Drosophila melanogaster: one gene and its partner. The protein of the gene in region 1 interacts with the protein of each later gene in a pairwise test. Each region holds a gene or a part of one and is shown on either strand. Other genes may lie near its edges.

Region 1 (9,634 bases):
TAAGAACACTTCTGGTCCCCTGCCCGAAATCATCCATCAGTTCCGAGTGCCCGATAAGCGCCCGCCCCGCATTGTTTCTGATATCTTCACCGGACTGTGCATAACCCCGCTTGTGCTGCTTTTCGTTTTTTGGGGAAAACTGGGCATCAATGTATCTAACCTGACGCTGGCACCGAGTACGATCGGGTTTCATCTGGGTTTCGGTGGCATTCTGGTGCTGTTCTTCGTGTTCTGGCTGCAGCTTAACATGTTCCAGACACTGCGCCTGCTGATTCCCATCGCAGTATTCACATTCCTGGCTGGCAACCGATTACTGAGACGTCTTTACGCACAACGTAACTCGAAGGCAAGTGCGTCGTAAGTGCGTTCATCATTGTACGAAGTCAATAAGTGAGCTACTCTCTATCTTGCAACACCATCAGAAAACAAACTTTAATAAAGCGATTTAGTTAAGCCCAAACACACACTAAATACTGCCTTTAAATATAGTTGAATATTTTATTTGTGTATAATTTTACAGCCTAGTTTCAACTGCACAAGCCCTGACATCATAATTGTCTTAAAGACCATTTGCTAAGCAGACAGTTGTATAATACAAAAACAATGGAAACAAATGTATATTTACAATAATAACACTTGTGAAAATCTTCCAGAGCAATAGGATATGAATCTAGAGGTGAGCCTTCATGAATGGCTTCAAGTACTTGTGGAATGCTCCGTTGACTGGCTCCTTGTTCAACGGGTTCTTCTTCGTAGACTCGAAGATGTGTTCGTAAACATTTCCATCATAGGCACCCAATGCGGAATCTAGCACGCGATCGTGAAGATCAAAGCTGTCCACCAAGCTGACGGCATTCGGCCGGAATCGTTTTAAGCAGTTCTCCAGGCGAACCTCCAGTTTCGTGACATCTTGATCAGTGAGATCAATGAACTGTTGAAAGTTACATATAACATTAAATATTCTTAACTAATATCAATTTAAAATCGTACCCGCAAGAAGTCGCCAATGCGGTTGAGGCAGGCGTCTACCAGATACAGCTCCAGCACCACCTTTAGGACTTCAGCTAGTTCTGGGGACACCTCGCGCGACAAGGCCAAAAGCTCCGTATAGGCAGTCTGCGCTAGGAAGGCGCGTCCATGAAGCTACAAGTGGTACAAAATTATATAGGATACTGAGTGAATAACAGATATTTCATTACGACTTACATCTGCAGCTGCTGTTAGGAAGGTGCCACATAGATTAGCTGCCACCTCGGTACCATAACCTTGCTTGCGGCGCAGTTCAATCTGCTCATAGGCAATTCGGGTTTTGCTGATATAAAAATATGAATTTAAATACTTGGTACTTCTACCTTTTTTTCTTTAGTAAATACTTACTTGGCGGCAACGAATTGGAAAGCCTTGACAATAGACCTCAATGATCCGTCAAAGTTAACAAACTTGGTTTGGTTTATTGCATCACTGATGTACGAAACCGTTGGCACCAGCTTCTCTCCATTCAAGGCCTGCCCATAAACCTTCACCAAATAGCGAGCAGTCTGCAGCAGCATCACTGTGTTCTCGCCCTCATAGGTGCAAACGGCCGTGGTCATGCCGTATATCGTGGGGAAGTTGGAGCAGTCCATGTAGCCATGTCCGCCACATGACAGACGACACGTTTCCACGCCGGCGGCGGCATCGGCACTACAGATGGCCTTAAGGCAGCAGGACAATGCATGCATTTCGGGCAGGCGATCCAAGTTACCCTGCTCAATCTCGCCAGATATCACGTTGTACATATTCCAGATGCCATCACCCGTCGTTTTGAAAACGATGGCTTTAGCTATCTGGGGGAACAACTTCAACTGCTGCGTGGTATGGTCCATGATTTGGGGCTCCGGTTGATTGGGATCAATGGGACTCTGTCGGCGAACAGCTGAATACCTAGTGGCAATAGTGGATGCCTTTGCCAGGCTCTGAGCGGTATCACGGATAAGAGCACAACGCACAAACATCTTGAATGAAAAAATGGTTAAAATCTCTGTGAAGATATAGTGAATATGTGTAATAGTACCATAGTTCCGTAGGTAAGCACGCTATTCTTCGGCGCCACATATGTGCCATCGGGCAGCACTTGCTGGTTCTTCATCAGCATGTTGTTTAAAGGCACCCGTACGTTCTTCAGTCCCAAATAGCCATTGTTGACACCCTTCATGCCCAGCTTGGTACCAATATCTCCAATGTCGATGCCGGGCATGGGACGGTGAGTATCGGAATCCCTCAATTGGACAATAAAAGGAGCCAGACCACGGAACTCGCCCTTGGTGTAGAGTTGTGCCACCACAACCGCATGGTTAGCAGTGTGTCCCACTGCAAGTCCCAGATTTTATAACAATTTCAAAATATTAAGTGTTCAAGAAAACTCACATCCACCGGGCCACCACTTGTATGCACTGAGTGATGGAGTGTTTATAACAAACTCCTGGGTGCTGGCATCGTAGTCAGCCCTGGTCTCCAGACCGCGCAGGAAGGTTCCGTGTCCCAGTTCCGTTTGGGCATAGGTGCCAATGATTTCACAGTCCCAGGCCTTGCTCAGCCATTCCACCTGCTGATCCATCGTTCCCTGGCCCATGATGGTGGGCACGAACATCACGTAGTGCAGCGCAAGCGGATTGCCCTCCTTTAGAATAGCCGATCCCAAGGATCCACCAAGCAGAGCACTATAAGCACACAAATTACAACCTGAAGTACATTAAATATAAGGATTTCTTTACTTGTAAGTATCCACTCCATCCTCGCCATCAGCACGTAGCTTGCGGATCTTCTCTCCTATGATGCAGGCTTTGCGCAAGCTGTGCTCATAGAGCTCCTTGTGTGACAAATAGGAAATGGGCAAGTCGTCCTGAAGGGCTGGATCCTCCAAAAACAATTTCTCTGGAAAAATCATAAACGAAATTTAATGTAAATGAAGCCATAAGGAAAGGGATTTAATATTTTAGGAGGTGTCATTTAGATAAGCATTGTTGAATTTTGCAGCGTAATCATGAGTGGAAAGTATTCTTCGTTAATTCGCGGGAGTTACTGGGCATTGTCCATTTATGATGCCCTGAGCGACCGTGCAAATCTGTCAGATAAACCTATCAGCTAAACTAATTTCAAGTGGACCTGGAAATAGATGGTGGGTAGCTGCAAACATTCAAAGTACACAAGTAGTCGGATTGATCGCGATTCGCGCGAAGTTCAAAGATTAATAACTTATGAGCTGGCTAATAGGTGCTGATTAACTAGTAGCGGCTTGTTTATGCGGAATACATAATTAATGAACTTTGGGCCACGGCGTGCAGCAAAATCAACAAATCGCATGAATGAATGGACGGAGAAGAAGCGTATCAAAACAAAGAAGTTGACAGGATGTTTTGGATAATTTATCAGTGGCTGACATGGCTAGCATCAGAGTTTGTACCCTACAGATTAGCTATAAATGCGTTAAAGCCTAGCTTAATTGCCAAGTCATGCTTTTGGCACAATTTCTTGCATCCACTGTTGGGAAACGCGATTGCGCCAAGCTCAGATAAAGCTCTGAGCGACCGGTTAATGTGAATGTACATGTAGGTCTGTCGGGGTCACCGGAGAAGCTTGAAATCCGGTGTTTTTCCCTTCTAAGCTAACTCACCCAGGGCCTTCTTCTCCTTGAATCGCTCCTCGCCGCCGGCCCACAGAACGGAGAACTCCCGGGGATTGAAGGTGGCCGTGCTGCGTTCCTTCTGGAGATCGGGATTCACTGGTTTGGCTGGCATTTTGCTATGCGGCACAGTATTCAAGTCACGTAAACAGGTTATGGATTAACGAGCCACCGCAAAGCGTCCGTCTTCGTTGAATATCGCGTACTGACTGATTGTTGCTGGAAAGGCGAATTGCGCTCAGTGGTCAGTCAGTCGGTCACTCAAGTGCTGGTGGAGGAAATCCAGTGGAGGAGATTGAGATTATGGACTGCTGATCTGATCCAGCTATTCCGAATCTAATCATCGATGCCAGCTCTCGAACGACGTGAACTTTAACCGCGAAAATACACATGTAATAAGTTCGCTTTTGTGTTGAAATAGTCTGTAGCACAACCATTATTCTCACGCCATTGTTGTTGGGCTACATTTATGAGTAAATACACAAAATAAATACACTGCATGTAAAAAGTACTTGGGCGTTTTCTTTCAGTTTGTTTCTAATTTAAATAAGATTGCTTTCATAAGCTTCTTTGTTCGTATAATTTGTTTGCAAGTGAATAATGCAAATTCACTACATCTTTCTGCATAAATAACATCTTTAAAATGTCTCAAATTAGCCGTTTTAAAAAAAGTAGGGTATTTGAATTCCGCCTTAATTAATAGATTAATTTTGTTTTTAGCAGCTCTTTGTTTGTATTGTGACGAAATCAGCTGTTGAACAGGGCTGCAAAATACAAACAAGTACGGCAGCACTCGACAACTCCAGGGATACAGTCACCATAATCTTGGCGCCAATTCAAAAAAATTCAAAAATTCCAATTTTATTAAAAACATAGATATATTTGCTAGCTAAATGATCATGAGGTAACACCAATCTTTGGCCTTATAGCATAGGTTCAGGCTTGCACATACGGAAACACGTAAAATTAAATCACGATTTAATACACTTACTAGGTGGTAAATTCATTTGGCTTAGGTCAGAACATTATTTATAATATCCGCTTAAATGCCATGGGCATGGCTAGTGGCTATAGCTATGCCCCGCTGATGCTGCCCCATTCCAGAGTCATAGGAACAGCTGGCCGCTGGCTCCATTTGATGCACTTCCGCCGGATACCAGTGACTGTGAGATTCCGGCAACTGATGGTAACTTAGATCCGCCGAAACATGGGTTTCGCCTCGCGTAGTCTTCGGATAAGATTGCGTATGCAGGGTTTGCCAATCCATACGGGCGGATGAGGTGGTTGATGATGATGGGGCAAATGCCAAACTCCGGCTACTCTGGTGGAACTCAAAGGGCCAGCTCTGCAAGACAGTATAATGTGGAATGTGTGGATAAAACAGGCATAAATCATAGGAGTTGTGGAAACCGCAGGGGCTATATATGGAACAATATGACGACAACCCATCCCGAGACAGCGCCATTGTTTGTTTACGCAACTTTGATTGTTTTTAGTGCCCACCCCCGCCTCCACGTCTAGATCTACAATAACAGCCTCATTAACGGATCTATAAAAACATAAACAGCCAAACACTTGCGGACAAGAGACACTCATTTGTATGCCATACAATGAGGGATTGGAAATGGGATATAGGGATGCTAGGGCTAGCGAGCAAATAGCGAACCAATGGGTTGTTCCCAACAGATCATCTTGGGCGCGTGGATGGTATAAATTCGGATAGGGTCGGGACTCTCCGATCCGATCTGATTTGCCACCATATGGGCACAAGACGGAGCCGTATTTGCTGAATTTTTCACGCATTCGGTGTGTAAACAATTGCATCTATTTAGATAAGTTGTGCACGCCATGAATCTTGAGTGATAGATTGTGTAAACTCCAGCGGGAATGGCTGATGGATAAACACGGTTAGACAAATTTTAATTACAATAATCCGAGTGGGAAAACTACTGAGGATGACACTTTCCCTCGCATGTCATTCACTGTGTCGCTTCAAAGCATCAAGAGCATCTTTAAAAATAAAAAATAAAAGCAAAGACTAACTAGTGCCCCCCATCCAGATCCGCAGGTCTGCGTTACCATCTCCGTTCCCTGCCCGCTCCACCAACAGCCTGTCACTCATATTTAATATTTTCGAAATTCACAAAAGTATCGGATTACAGGAAAGCAAGGCAGTCTGAAATCACAAAATGTGATTTCGGTGTTCTAGTGGGGGGCCCGGCTGAATGGCTGACTCCGGTCATGGGATGTGGATGTGGTTACGTTTGTGGTTCACCTCCACATCTAGAAAAGGTGGAAATACTTGTCGCCGCATCGCGTCCGCATCACCAAGCAGATGTTGCACCACATTCCTTTGGATTTTTGATCTATATTTCGCTAAAATTGCGTTGAATTACCCCTATAAGTTGAGTAGTATTACTAAATACTTAAGTTGCTTGTTAAAAAAAAAATGAGAATAATAGATTGCGTATACGTTTAAATTGTAATAGTATCAATTTTTTAAATTTTAAACACTGAAGCCTGGGTTTCCGTGTAACTTTCCACGATCTCTAAGTTAAAATTCTACGAAAGGCTAATTTCAACTAGCAAAATTTACAAATATCTACCTACTTTATTTCCTTAATGGCTTTTCAAAGAAAACGCATAAAAGAAAAATTTTCATTCCCAATACCAAACTTTCCATAAAAAGACATAAACTTATGGGAATCCCGATCGGCTGAACATTACTTCTCAATTAGACTGAAATCCATGAATAAACATTGATCTTGGGCATATCACTGGGCATCCCCTGCGACACCTGTCATTAACTGACGAGATCCACCTGAAGTGGCCGGCTCATTAATGCGTTCCCGTTCCCCCGAGCCGCGGGTGCAGTGCATCGTTAAGTGGTGGCAGTGACATCACTTATATTCGGGCAGGGGGATCGCAATTGCATGACACTTACCATGCCGTGTCCGTTGTTGTGGAAATTATAATTGCCTCCACCGGACGAATCTGCCATGTGACTTGTGTCCAGGCCTTCGGAACTGGTGGTACTCGAGTGACTGTGGTTGAGGCTGTGGTGCTGGTTGTGGTTGTGCGGGTGGTTCTGCGAGTGGCTGCCTGTCTCCACAGCCGTAATTAGCTGCTTGATGTAGAGCGTGGCCAAACGCAACGTGTCCAACTTGGAGAGCTTCGTGTCCGGCGGAATGTTGGGCAGCTTGGTCTTCAAACGTCCGTAGGCGCTGGATAAAACCCGCATACGCATCCGCTCCCGGGCATTTGCCGCATTTCGCTGCACCGGCGGTTGGGAGCCTGGAAAATCAGAAATGTAGATACATCTTAAGGAGCTCCAATAACAAGAGATTAATTAGAAACAAAAGGTTTTATTGGTATCCACAAAAGTTTTAAGTTACATTATAGATATCTTCGCAAAGTATGAAGTTCAAAAAGCATATGGAGTATGAATTTTAAACTCAATTTATATCTATTGTGCTTTCTGTTATTATAATTTTTATCATTATTATTATATTTTCATTTAGAGCTTAACGCATTTTAAATTAACATTCCTTTTAAGGTAAATTCTAAAGTTCGATTTAAAAAATTCTAAGGAAATTGAATTTTACTTTAAAGTAAATAATAAATTTACAAAACTAGCTAAACATATTTACATTGTCAACGTTTTTAAGCGTTTATAATACATCTTTTTAATATAAGTACAAAATCACCTATAAATTGAAATCGAACTCACTTTGAGAACTGGCATCCTCATCGAAGTCGTCATCAAAGAACTCCGTGGGGCTGGAACTGCGCTTCTTGCGTGGCATTGTTCAAAAACAAGTTGGTGGTATCACAAGAATCACTTCGAATATTTTCAAATTGGATATAAAATTCCAATCACTCAGTTTTCTCACTTAAAATCGAAACGCACCGAACCGAAACCAATCTGTGAGTCGAATACGTCCGATCTGCGTGGCACGTAGAGCACTTCTGTCACGGGTTACGGGGAGATCCTCCTTTTTGAGCATTCTGCTCCGCAGTTTGCAGCTCTCCAGATTCCGTCTATTTCTGGCACCTCTGGTGGGCGTGCCTGCTCCGCAAACAGTCCCAATTGGCGGAGGAATCCGGACACATGGTGCGATCGGCGGTCTCTTTCTCGGTTGTTTGCCTTCTGGCTGCCACCACATTGGCCACACAGTGTTCCTCCGTCGGTCTGCGGGAAAATTCAAAATGAAACGCTCGGTTTATCCGGTTCACTACGGGCGTTGGAGTGGGGATGTTGTGCCGTAAGGATGTGCGACGGGCGAGTGCGAAGCGTGCCAAGACTCCGGCTCCAGATGGCACCACCTGGTATTCGATCTCGCAGTGCATTTGGAGATAGGCATTAATGGCAGATCGGAAGAGATTATAATCCTGGGGTTCAACTGCGTATCCTGTTTGGGGTCGCCGCGATGGTTGGCATTTGAGTATGGGTCCAAAATTTCATTGCTTATGTGGGGAGTTTTAAGTTCCGAGAACGATTTTGACTTTTCAAATTTTCTGCGGGAAATGAAAATACTCGAAAATATATGTACATATATGTAGGCAACACTTTGTTTAATCTATAGAATTTACGTTTTCTTTAAGTGCTTTTAAAAGAAAAGCAAGAGTTTAATAAATCTATTTATATGAATGGATTAATTGAAACCACAACATATTAGCAAGAAGCATCTGTTAAACCGCATCTTTATTGAAACTAAAAATTTGCTCAGATTAAATTGTTTTTTGACCTACGTAGCTGCTAACTAATTTTACTACTTGCCACGCCTCCGAACCCAGATAAGAAACGTGCTGTGACCCTAAAACGTGGCCTTGATTAGGGCCTCCAGTCATGGATGGAACGTCACTGGCACAGCAGGTTTATCAGGATGCTGAACCATGGGTTATCCGATCAATTCAGCGGGAGATTATTATGGCGGTATTGTGTTTTTAACTCGAGAATTCAGTTGAGATTCTAAAGTCGTCGCGCTCGGCCGTTTTTGAGATGTGGCGCCATCGCATCCTGCAGCAAGCTTCGCGCCGTGGAATCAGCAAACAAGTGAGGGAAGATGGAGGAGCTCGAAGGGAACCAAGTGGATTCCTGCCAGGCGCAGCAGATGTTGTGGTTATTGGCGGTGGTTCGGCGGGCTGTCACACACTGTATCACCTGGCACGACGTGGTGTCAAGGCCGTGCTCCTGGAACGCGCCCAACTTACGGCCGGAACCACCTGGCACACGGCTGGATTGCTGTGGCGCCTGCGTCCCAACGATGTGGATATTCAGCTGCTGGCTAATTCACGTCGCATGCTGCAGCAATTGGAGGAGGAAACGGAGCTGGATCCGGGATGGATTCAAAATGGTGGCATCTTCATTGCTCACAATGAAACGCGACTGGACGAGTATCGCAGACTGGCCACTGTGGGCTCAGCTTTGGGTATTGAAAACCAAGTGCTGAGTCCGGAGGACACCCAAAAGTTATTTCCCCTCCTCGATCCGTCGGCATTTGTGGGCGCTCTCTATTCTCCGGGTGATGGTGTCATGGATCCGGCGATGCTGTGTGCGGCCCTCAAAAAGGCAGCCACTAATCTCGGAGCACAGGTAATCGAGAATTGCGGAGTGGATGATCTACTGCTGGAGCAGACTGCGAGGGGTAAGAAGGTGGTGGGTGTTTCCACGCCTTTCGGGGACATCAAAGCTGAGAAGGTAGTGAATGCTACAGGAGTGTGGGGTCGTGATTTGGTGGCCCGGCACGGCACCCATCTTCCCCTTGTGCCCATGAAGCATGCTTATATTGTTTCTGAATCCATTCCGGGTGTTAGAGGTCTACCCAATATCAGAGATCACGATTACTCCACCTACTTCCGCATCCAAGGGGATGCCATCTGCATGGGTGGCTATGAACCGAATCCCATTCTGCTGGAGCCCGTGCCCAAGGACTTCCATTTCGGACTCTACGAACTGGATTGGTCGGTGTT
Region 2 (6,967 bases), on another chromosome or scaffold:
GGGTGTTTAAGGAGCCCACCAAAAACATCTATAGGGTAAGGGACTTAAGGCAGAGTTAAGCTTACATTTAATAAATTAAATGGCGTTGATGAACTCGGAATTGTTTGTATTAACCTTTAACCACAATCACCATAATTATTTGGAGTATAATCAAAATTTTAAAATAGGGTTTAAAGTTGTTATCACTTAAAACTATTTTTAGTTGTAATTATATTGTTCACTTCCGCCACGTTTGTCGTTAGAATGAGCGCTTATTATATTTGTTTGATCAGATTTAGGAAAACGATCATTATATACGATTATTCAAGTATGTCACTTGATATTTATTACCTGATAATTGAGCTGACTAGACAATTAGATAATTAATGATTTTTTTCTTTCAGAATCTGAGTGGCCTGGCGGAGAGTCATGAAGACACCACGCCCGGAATCTTTCATGGAGACTTTCACATGGAGTTCTGCGAGAATCGGAGGCAACTGTTCCAGGCCTACTTCCGTGACTTTTCCATTGAGCGAATGGACAAACCGTGGGAGGCATTTACTGGCGGATGGTTTCCGGATAATGCGGCCAAGAAGCTGGGCATCAATACATCTTTCATCCAAGGCGATTACTCGTATGTTTTGGTGAGGGTGGTGCGCTTCAGGGAAACGGGGCGTCTTAACGCTGAGATTCCGGTGCACCAACCCTTGGAGCCGGATGTGCGATCGAGAATGGATCAACTGCAAATCGGAAATATAACTTCCGCAGTGCGATTTATGGAAGATGTGGGCACCCACTACGTAAACTCATACACCACCGGCAATTCGCTGTATCAGGTGTTTGTGTACAGCAGGAAGAACTACAGCATGATCAAGGAGCGAATCAAGAGTAAAGGTCTGAACGGACTGTCCAAGTTGGATCTTTACAACTACTTTGCGCCCTGGTTTGCCGCCCATCTGGGCCAGATTCGATCGGCTAGTGCCAATGCTACAGTGGAAAGATGGGCGAGAAGGAAGCTGCAGTACGAGTACTATGTGGTCAAGTATGTGACCCTGCTGAAACTGCACGGTAATAGTACTCTACTGCGATCCCTGGACTCGCTGCTCGGCAACGATGCCATACTGCAGTTGGACCTCAAGTCGCTGAAGCCCATCTTCCGGGAGGAGCCGGAAAAGGAGAGCTGGTACCACGAGGTTCTCGACAACAATGTGAAGCTCTGGGAGCTTAACATGCCGCAGAGTCATCCCACCCGATAGCTGCATTTTAAATATATATATACTGTGCGATATGTGGCAGCCAAGGATCAATAGTTCCTAGATGCTTAGTTGTAGTTAGGAACCTCTAGTGCGTAGTTAATGTTCTGCCTGTGATAGTTTTAGGTAGTTTAATTGGAACACAGTACACATCCGACTTGCATTTCAGCTAACTAGACCGTAAGATCGCCTTATTGATGTAATAGTTTTGTAAACTTTAATACAAAGTAAAGATAAAAGTAAAAATCTTACTGTTTTCATAACTTGATATTGGCTATTAAAATCTAACTGTTTTCATTACGTAATATTGGCTATGAATATCAAATACTATTTTGAAAGTTTATTTTGAATAATTGATTTTGATTAAGAACCGGTAATCGAAACGGGTAAACGGCTCTACCCGTTTCATCAAGGCTTTCAACCAGACTTATTCTAGTTTTCCACCCTTACGTATTTAGTATATGAATCAAGTATATTTTTAATACCGTGTGGTATATTTCAAACGGTTCAGTTACGCTCATACTGAAATCCGAAATAGCACGTGCGGTTTTTGTATTTTGATTTTGATTTTGGGTGATATATACTGGCATGGATATTTTTTCCAATTGTCCGGGCTTTTGCCCCTCCTGCGGCTCCATTCTGCCCGAGCTTCAAGTCAAGGGCAATGTGATTTGCTACAACTGCAAGAAGGAGTTTCAGCCAGATGGTAAATCCAGAAATTACAACTTTGTTTAATTTATTTAACACTTAAAAATAGTTTACAGCGGCGAGAAGTCCGAGTTTACCATACACTTCAACACCTACGATCCCAGCAAGGTGTTCAACAGGACGAAAAGGGAGTCGGAATCGGACGCGGATGGCCCCGTTGTGGAGAGGAAGTGTCCCAAGTGCAACCACGACAAGATGTCCTATGCCACCCTGCAGCTTCGATCGGCGGACGAAGGCCAGACGGTGTTCTTTACCTGCCTTAAGTGCAAGTAGGTGTCCTGATAAACATATTCCTTCACTTCCACAACTAATCACACACATTCTACCTTGCAGATTCAAAGAATCCGAAAACTCTTAGTTGCTAGCAATGTCCGTGTAAATAGTCCTAGATTAATGAAAATAATCATGCTCGACGGCCTGAGAAATATAGAATTTACCAATTATAATACCTAACCGGTGTCAAACTTGAAGCAGAACCCACCTCGCTGGCCTTGAGTCGGTTTTTGGGATTGTAGACCACCAGATTCGAGACCAGATTGATTTCCACCGCATGTGTGCAGCTGGGAAACAAGTTGTCCCAGTGAATGCCCACGGAGTTGGGAAACCTACGTCAAGAATATTACGGATTAAGTAATCATAGACGGTAAGAATGCCTACCGTATCTTGCTGTAATCCGGCAGAGAAGTCAGCTCTGGCCACTGATTCAGACGTGGGCTGCCCAGAGTGCGAATGATGATGGCTAATTGCTCGATGTCGGTGGTTCCCGCAAACAGGGGCACTCCGCGTAGCATCTCCGCCACAACACAACCTGGATAGCAATAATGTCAGCCATAAGGATATATGTAAACCCATCAAAGAGTCATGGCTAACCTGCCGCCCACATATCCACTCCGGTTCCATACTTCTGGCTGCCAAATAGAATCTCTGGCGCTCGATACCACCGGGTTGAGACCTGAGGCGAATAAAGGCGCGACTCGTCTTCAGGGAAGTACAGACGGGCCAGTCCGAAATCGGCAATCTTAAGCATATCTGTATCGCTGATAAGCAGATTGGCGGGTTTAATATCCCGGTGCATGAGACCCGCTTCATGCAGATATGCAATCCCCTTGAACATTTGGTGTGCAAACTTACGCACCTGCTGGCGGCTCAGGGGATTAACCTCGCTCTTGAGGCGGTTGTACAGAGTGTCCGGCTGGTATTCCAGCACCAAGGAGAGACCAGTTAGGTCAGGATATATATCAATGATGTCCAGAATCTACAATTAGTTACATAATTAACAAATGGAAAATAGATATATGGTATACCTACATATTCAGACTTGCAAAGCTGCAGGGTCTTGATTTCCCTCAAAGTATTTAGGGCTATGTTTCCGAACTTGTTCTTAAGGGCCACCTTCTTGATGGCCACCTCCTTGTTGCGCTGCAGATCGATGGCCTTAAACACGCAGCCATGGACGCCTTCGCCGATTTTCTCAAGCATTTTATAGCGGCTGGGCGCATAGTCCTCCATTATGGTTACTCACAATTTTCAATTTGGTAATTTTCCGAGCAGTTATCTACTTCGTTTTTCGACCCCAGTAGTCCATGGCAACGGGCACAACAATTGCCGGAGTACCAGCTGATGGGACCACCTGTTGCAGGATGTTTACAAGCGCAGTGGGTTTATGGTAATTACGGGGGTTGGAAAGCCTAGGCCAAGGCGGAGCAGTGACAGCTTTCGGTTTAAGGACATGCGCACTTCCTGCCTCGAATTCCTCCTGTCAGACAAATGTCAAGTCAGGGGGATACATAATTTTTCGGACCCTCGCACTGCAAAAGTTCTTCGTTGGCTGAGATTTGATGTAAAATAAGTGTTTCAAATGGCATCGGTAGTGAAATAAAAGCCAGTTCTGGGACTAAGCAAGCTGGTAGGTTCCTAAAAACATGTACACATAAGATTTAAGAGGATGCAACACCTGGAAGATACTCCTTCGCGTTAACGAGCATACTAAATAATGCACGAATCCTTTAGATCATTAAATTGCTTTATAATTACTAAACGTGCCAGCATTGCTGCAGCAATTTGAAGCAATTTTGCTGGCCTGGACTGGCCTTAGCCTTGCTCCACCTGTCCTGTAAAATTGCATGCGAGTGCCAGCAAACACAGGTAGAACGTAGAAAATAATACACACCCACTGGGCGCAGCCTTGCCTCGGCAGCCTTGGCTCACCCGAAACCAACCACTGCCATTCACCACCCACAACTTGGCTCCAAGTTCACGTCCTCGATATGCGCTATTCACATTTAGAATCGTTTTACAGCCCACGCGGTCAACATGTTCCGGCCAAGTTGGTTTCCATTCGCCAGCCTGCTGTTCCTGCTCCTTTGGAGCACCGCCTGTGGCAGGACAGCCAAGAGATCGGACGTCTACATAGCGGGATTCTTCCCGTACGGGGATGGCGTGGAAAACTCCTACACCGGTCGGGGCGTTATGCCCAGTGTAAAGCTCGCCTTGGGTCACGTTAATGAGCATGGAAAGATACTGGCCAACTACAGGCTGCACATGTGGTGGAACGACACTCAGGTGAGTTAGGGTTTAGCTTGAAGATTTCATTAAGTGAATCTCTGATGATGGACTTGTGGTTTTTAAAGTTCAATTAGGTATTTTTTTTAATGTTCATTGGTTCATATTGTAATATCACACCTTTACCTATGCATATTTCCATATATTCTGGAATGTAATTTTGGTTTCCTTTCCAGTGCAATGCTGCTGTGGGCGTAAAGTCCTTCTTCGATATGATGCATTCGGGTCCCAATAAAGTGATGCTCTTCGGCGCTGCGTGCACCCATGTGACCGATCCCATAGCCAAGGCCAGCAAGCACTGGCACCTCACCCAGCTCAGCTACGCGGACACCCATCCCATGTTCACCAAGGATGCGTTTCCGAATTTCTTTCGCGTGGTACCCTCGGAGAATGCCTTTAATGCGCCGCGACTGGCCTTGCTGAAGGAGTTCAATTGGACCAGAGTGGGCACTGTCTACCAGAATGAGCCACGCTATTCGCTGCCCCACAATCACATGGTGGCTGACCTGGATGCCATGGAGGTCGAGGTGGTGGAAACGCAGAGCTTCGTCAACGATGTGGCTGAATCATTGAAGAAACTGCGCGAGAAGGACGTGAGGATCATTCTGGGCAACTTTAACGAGCACTTTGCACGCAAGGCATTCTGTGAGGCTTATAAGTGAGTTGGATATACTAACTTAAGTCTCAATTTAAAATTATTGCAATAAACTCCCTTCCAGATTGGATATGTATGGCAGAGCCTATCAATGGCTGATCATGGCTACCTATTCCACGGATTGGTGGAATGTCACGCAGGACAGCGAGTGCAGTGTGGAGGAGATCGCTACAGCCTTGGAAGGTGCCATTCTAGTGGATCTTTTGCCCTTGTCCACCAGTGGTGACATCACAGTGGCTGGCATTGTTAGTACCAGTAAAGTCTATTAAAATTCTTGTAATAAATTTCATATTTTACTAGACTGCTGATGAGTATCTTGTGGAGTACGACAGACTGCGAGGCACTGAATATTCCCGCTTTCATGGCTATACCTACGATGGTATCTGGGCAGCTGCCCTGGCCATTCAGTATGTGGCCGAAAAGCGAGAGGATCTGCTAACACATTTTGATTATCGCGTGAAGGACTGGGAGAGTGTCTTCCTTGAGGCTCTACGTAATACATCCTTCGAGGGTGTGACGGTAGATAGATAAACAATCCAGTTTTTGCAGTTAAAACATATTTTACATTCTCAAGGGACCCGTGCGTTTCTACAACAACGAGCGCAAGGCCAACATCCTGATCAATCAGTTTCAGCTGGGACAAATGGAAAAGATCGGGGAATACCACTCACAGAAGTCACACTTGGATTTAAGCTTGGGAAAACCAGTCAAATGGGTGGGGAAAACTCCTCCCAAGGATCGCACTTTGATCTACATCGAGCACAGTCAGGTCAATCCAACCATATATATTGTATCGGCTAGTGCTTCGGTCATTGGAGTGATTATTGCCACAGTTTTTCTGGCCTTTAACATTAAGTATCGCAATCAAAGGTGAGCTTAACAATGCTATATTAAACAATTTCGTTTAATAAAATATTGATGTTTTTATAGATACATCAAGATGTCCAGTCCCCATTTGAACAATCTGATCATTGTGGGCTGTATGATGACCTATTTGAGCATCATTTTCCTGGGTCTCGATACCACATTAAGTAGTGTGGCAGCTTTTCCCTATATCTGCACAGCTCGAGCCTGGATCTTGATGGCTGGATTCAGTCTCAGTTTTGGAGCCATGTTCTCGAAGACGTGGCGGGTGCATTCGATATTCACCGATCTGAAGCTCAATAAGAAGGTGATCAAGGACTATCAATTGTTTATGGTTGTGGGCGTGCTTTTGGCCATTGATATAGCCATTATAACCACCTGGCAGATTGCCGATCCCTTTTACCGCGAAACTAAACAGTTGGAACCCTTGGTGAGTGCATTGATAGAACATATTTGAAGTGAAAAATCTAAAATGATTATTATTAACTACAGCATCACGAGAATATTGATGATGTCTTGGTGATCCCCGAAAACGAGTACTGCCAGTCTGAGCACATGACCATATTCGTTAGCATTATTTATGCCTACAAGGGACTGTTGTTGGTGAGTATATAATAAACATTAATTTGTAAGATATCATTATAATAAAGCAATAATTTTTTTCAATAGGTTTTTGGCGCCTTTTTGGCCTGGGAAACTCGACATGTTTCTATACCGGCTCTGAACGATTCCAAGCATATTGGTTTCTCCGTTTATAACGTGTTCATCACTTGTCTGGCCGGAGCGGCTATATCCCTGGTGCTATCGGATCGAAAGGATTTAGTTTTTGTCTTACTCTCGTTTTTTATCATTTTTTGTACGACAGCCACTTTGTGTTTGGTGTTCGTACCGAAAGTAAGACTGGTAGTAAGGAAGTTTTGTAGTTTTTGTAGCTGTTATATGTTAC

What was found. The genes of interacting proteins can lie anywhere in the genome.
Region 2: the proteins of ACOX1 (region 1) and CG6800 interact in a two-hybrid assay, tested with the Drosophila melanogaster proteins (one large-scale study listed by BioGRID).

What each region holds. Positions count from the first base shown.
Region 1 is NT_033778.4:17,755,408-17,765,041, reverse strand, and holds ACOX1 (acyl-CoA oxidase 1), read right to left. Parts: upstream 4,103-9,634; 5' UTR 3,777-4,102; coding exon 3,653-3,776; intron 2,914-3,652; coding exon 2,754-2,913; intron 2,700-2,753; coding exon 2,407-2,699; intron 2,350-2,406; coding exon 2,054-2,349; intron 1,995-2,053; coding exon 1,378-1,994; intron 1,313-1,377; coding exon 1,207-1,312; intron 1,144-1,206; coding exon 991-1,143; intron 932-990; coding exon 671-931; 3' UTR 501-670; downstream 1-500. Other genes in the region: OstDelta (oligosaccharide transferase delta subunit), read left to right, coding at 1-361; HLH54F, read right to left, coding at 4,704-5,006, 6,606-6,955, 7,392-7,467; Sardh (sarcosine dehydrogenase), read left to right, coding at 8,664-9,634. UniProt on the Drosophila melanogaster protein: Catalyzes the desaturation of acyl-CoAs to 2-trans-enoyl-CoAs. First enzyme of the fatty acid beta-oxidation pathway.
Region 2 is NT_033777.3:21,772,620-21,779,586, reverse strand, and holds CG6800 (uncharacterized protein), read right to left. Parts: upstream 3,450-6,967; coding exon 3,249-3,449; intron 3,196-3,248; coding exon 2,811-3,195; intron 2,749-2,810; coding exon 2,598-2,748; intron 2,546-2,597; coding exon 2,374-2,545; downstream 1-2,373. Other genes in the region: tsl (torso-like), read left to right, coding at 1-35, 384-1,235; Polr1H (RNA polymerase I subunit H), read left to right, coding at 1,821-1,938, 1,990-2,209, 2,274-2,298; GABA-B-R2 (metabotropic GABA-B receptor subtype 2), read left to right, coding at 4,254-4,502, 4,679-5,160, 5,222-5,402, 5,458-5,676, 5,732-6,027, 6,088-6,451, 6,514-6,624, 6,691-6,927.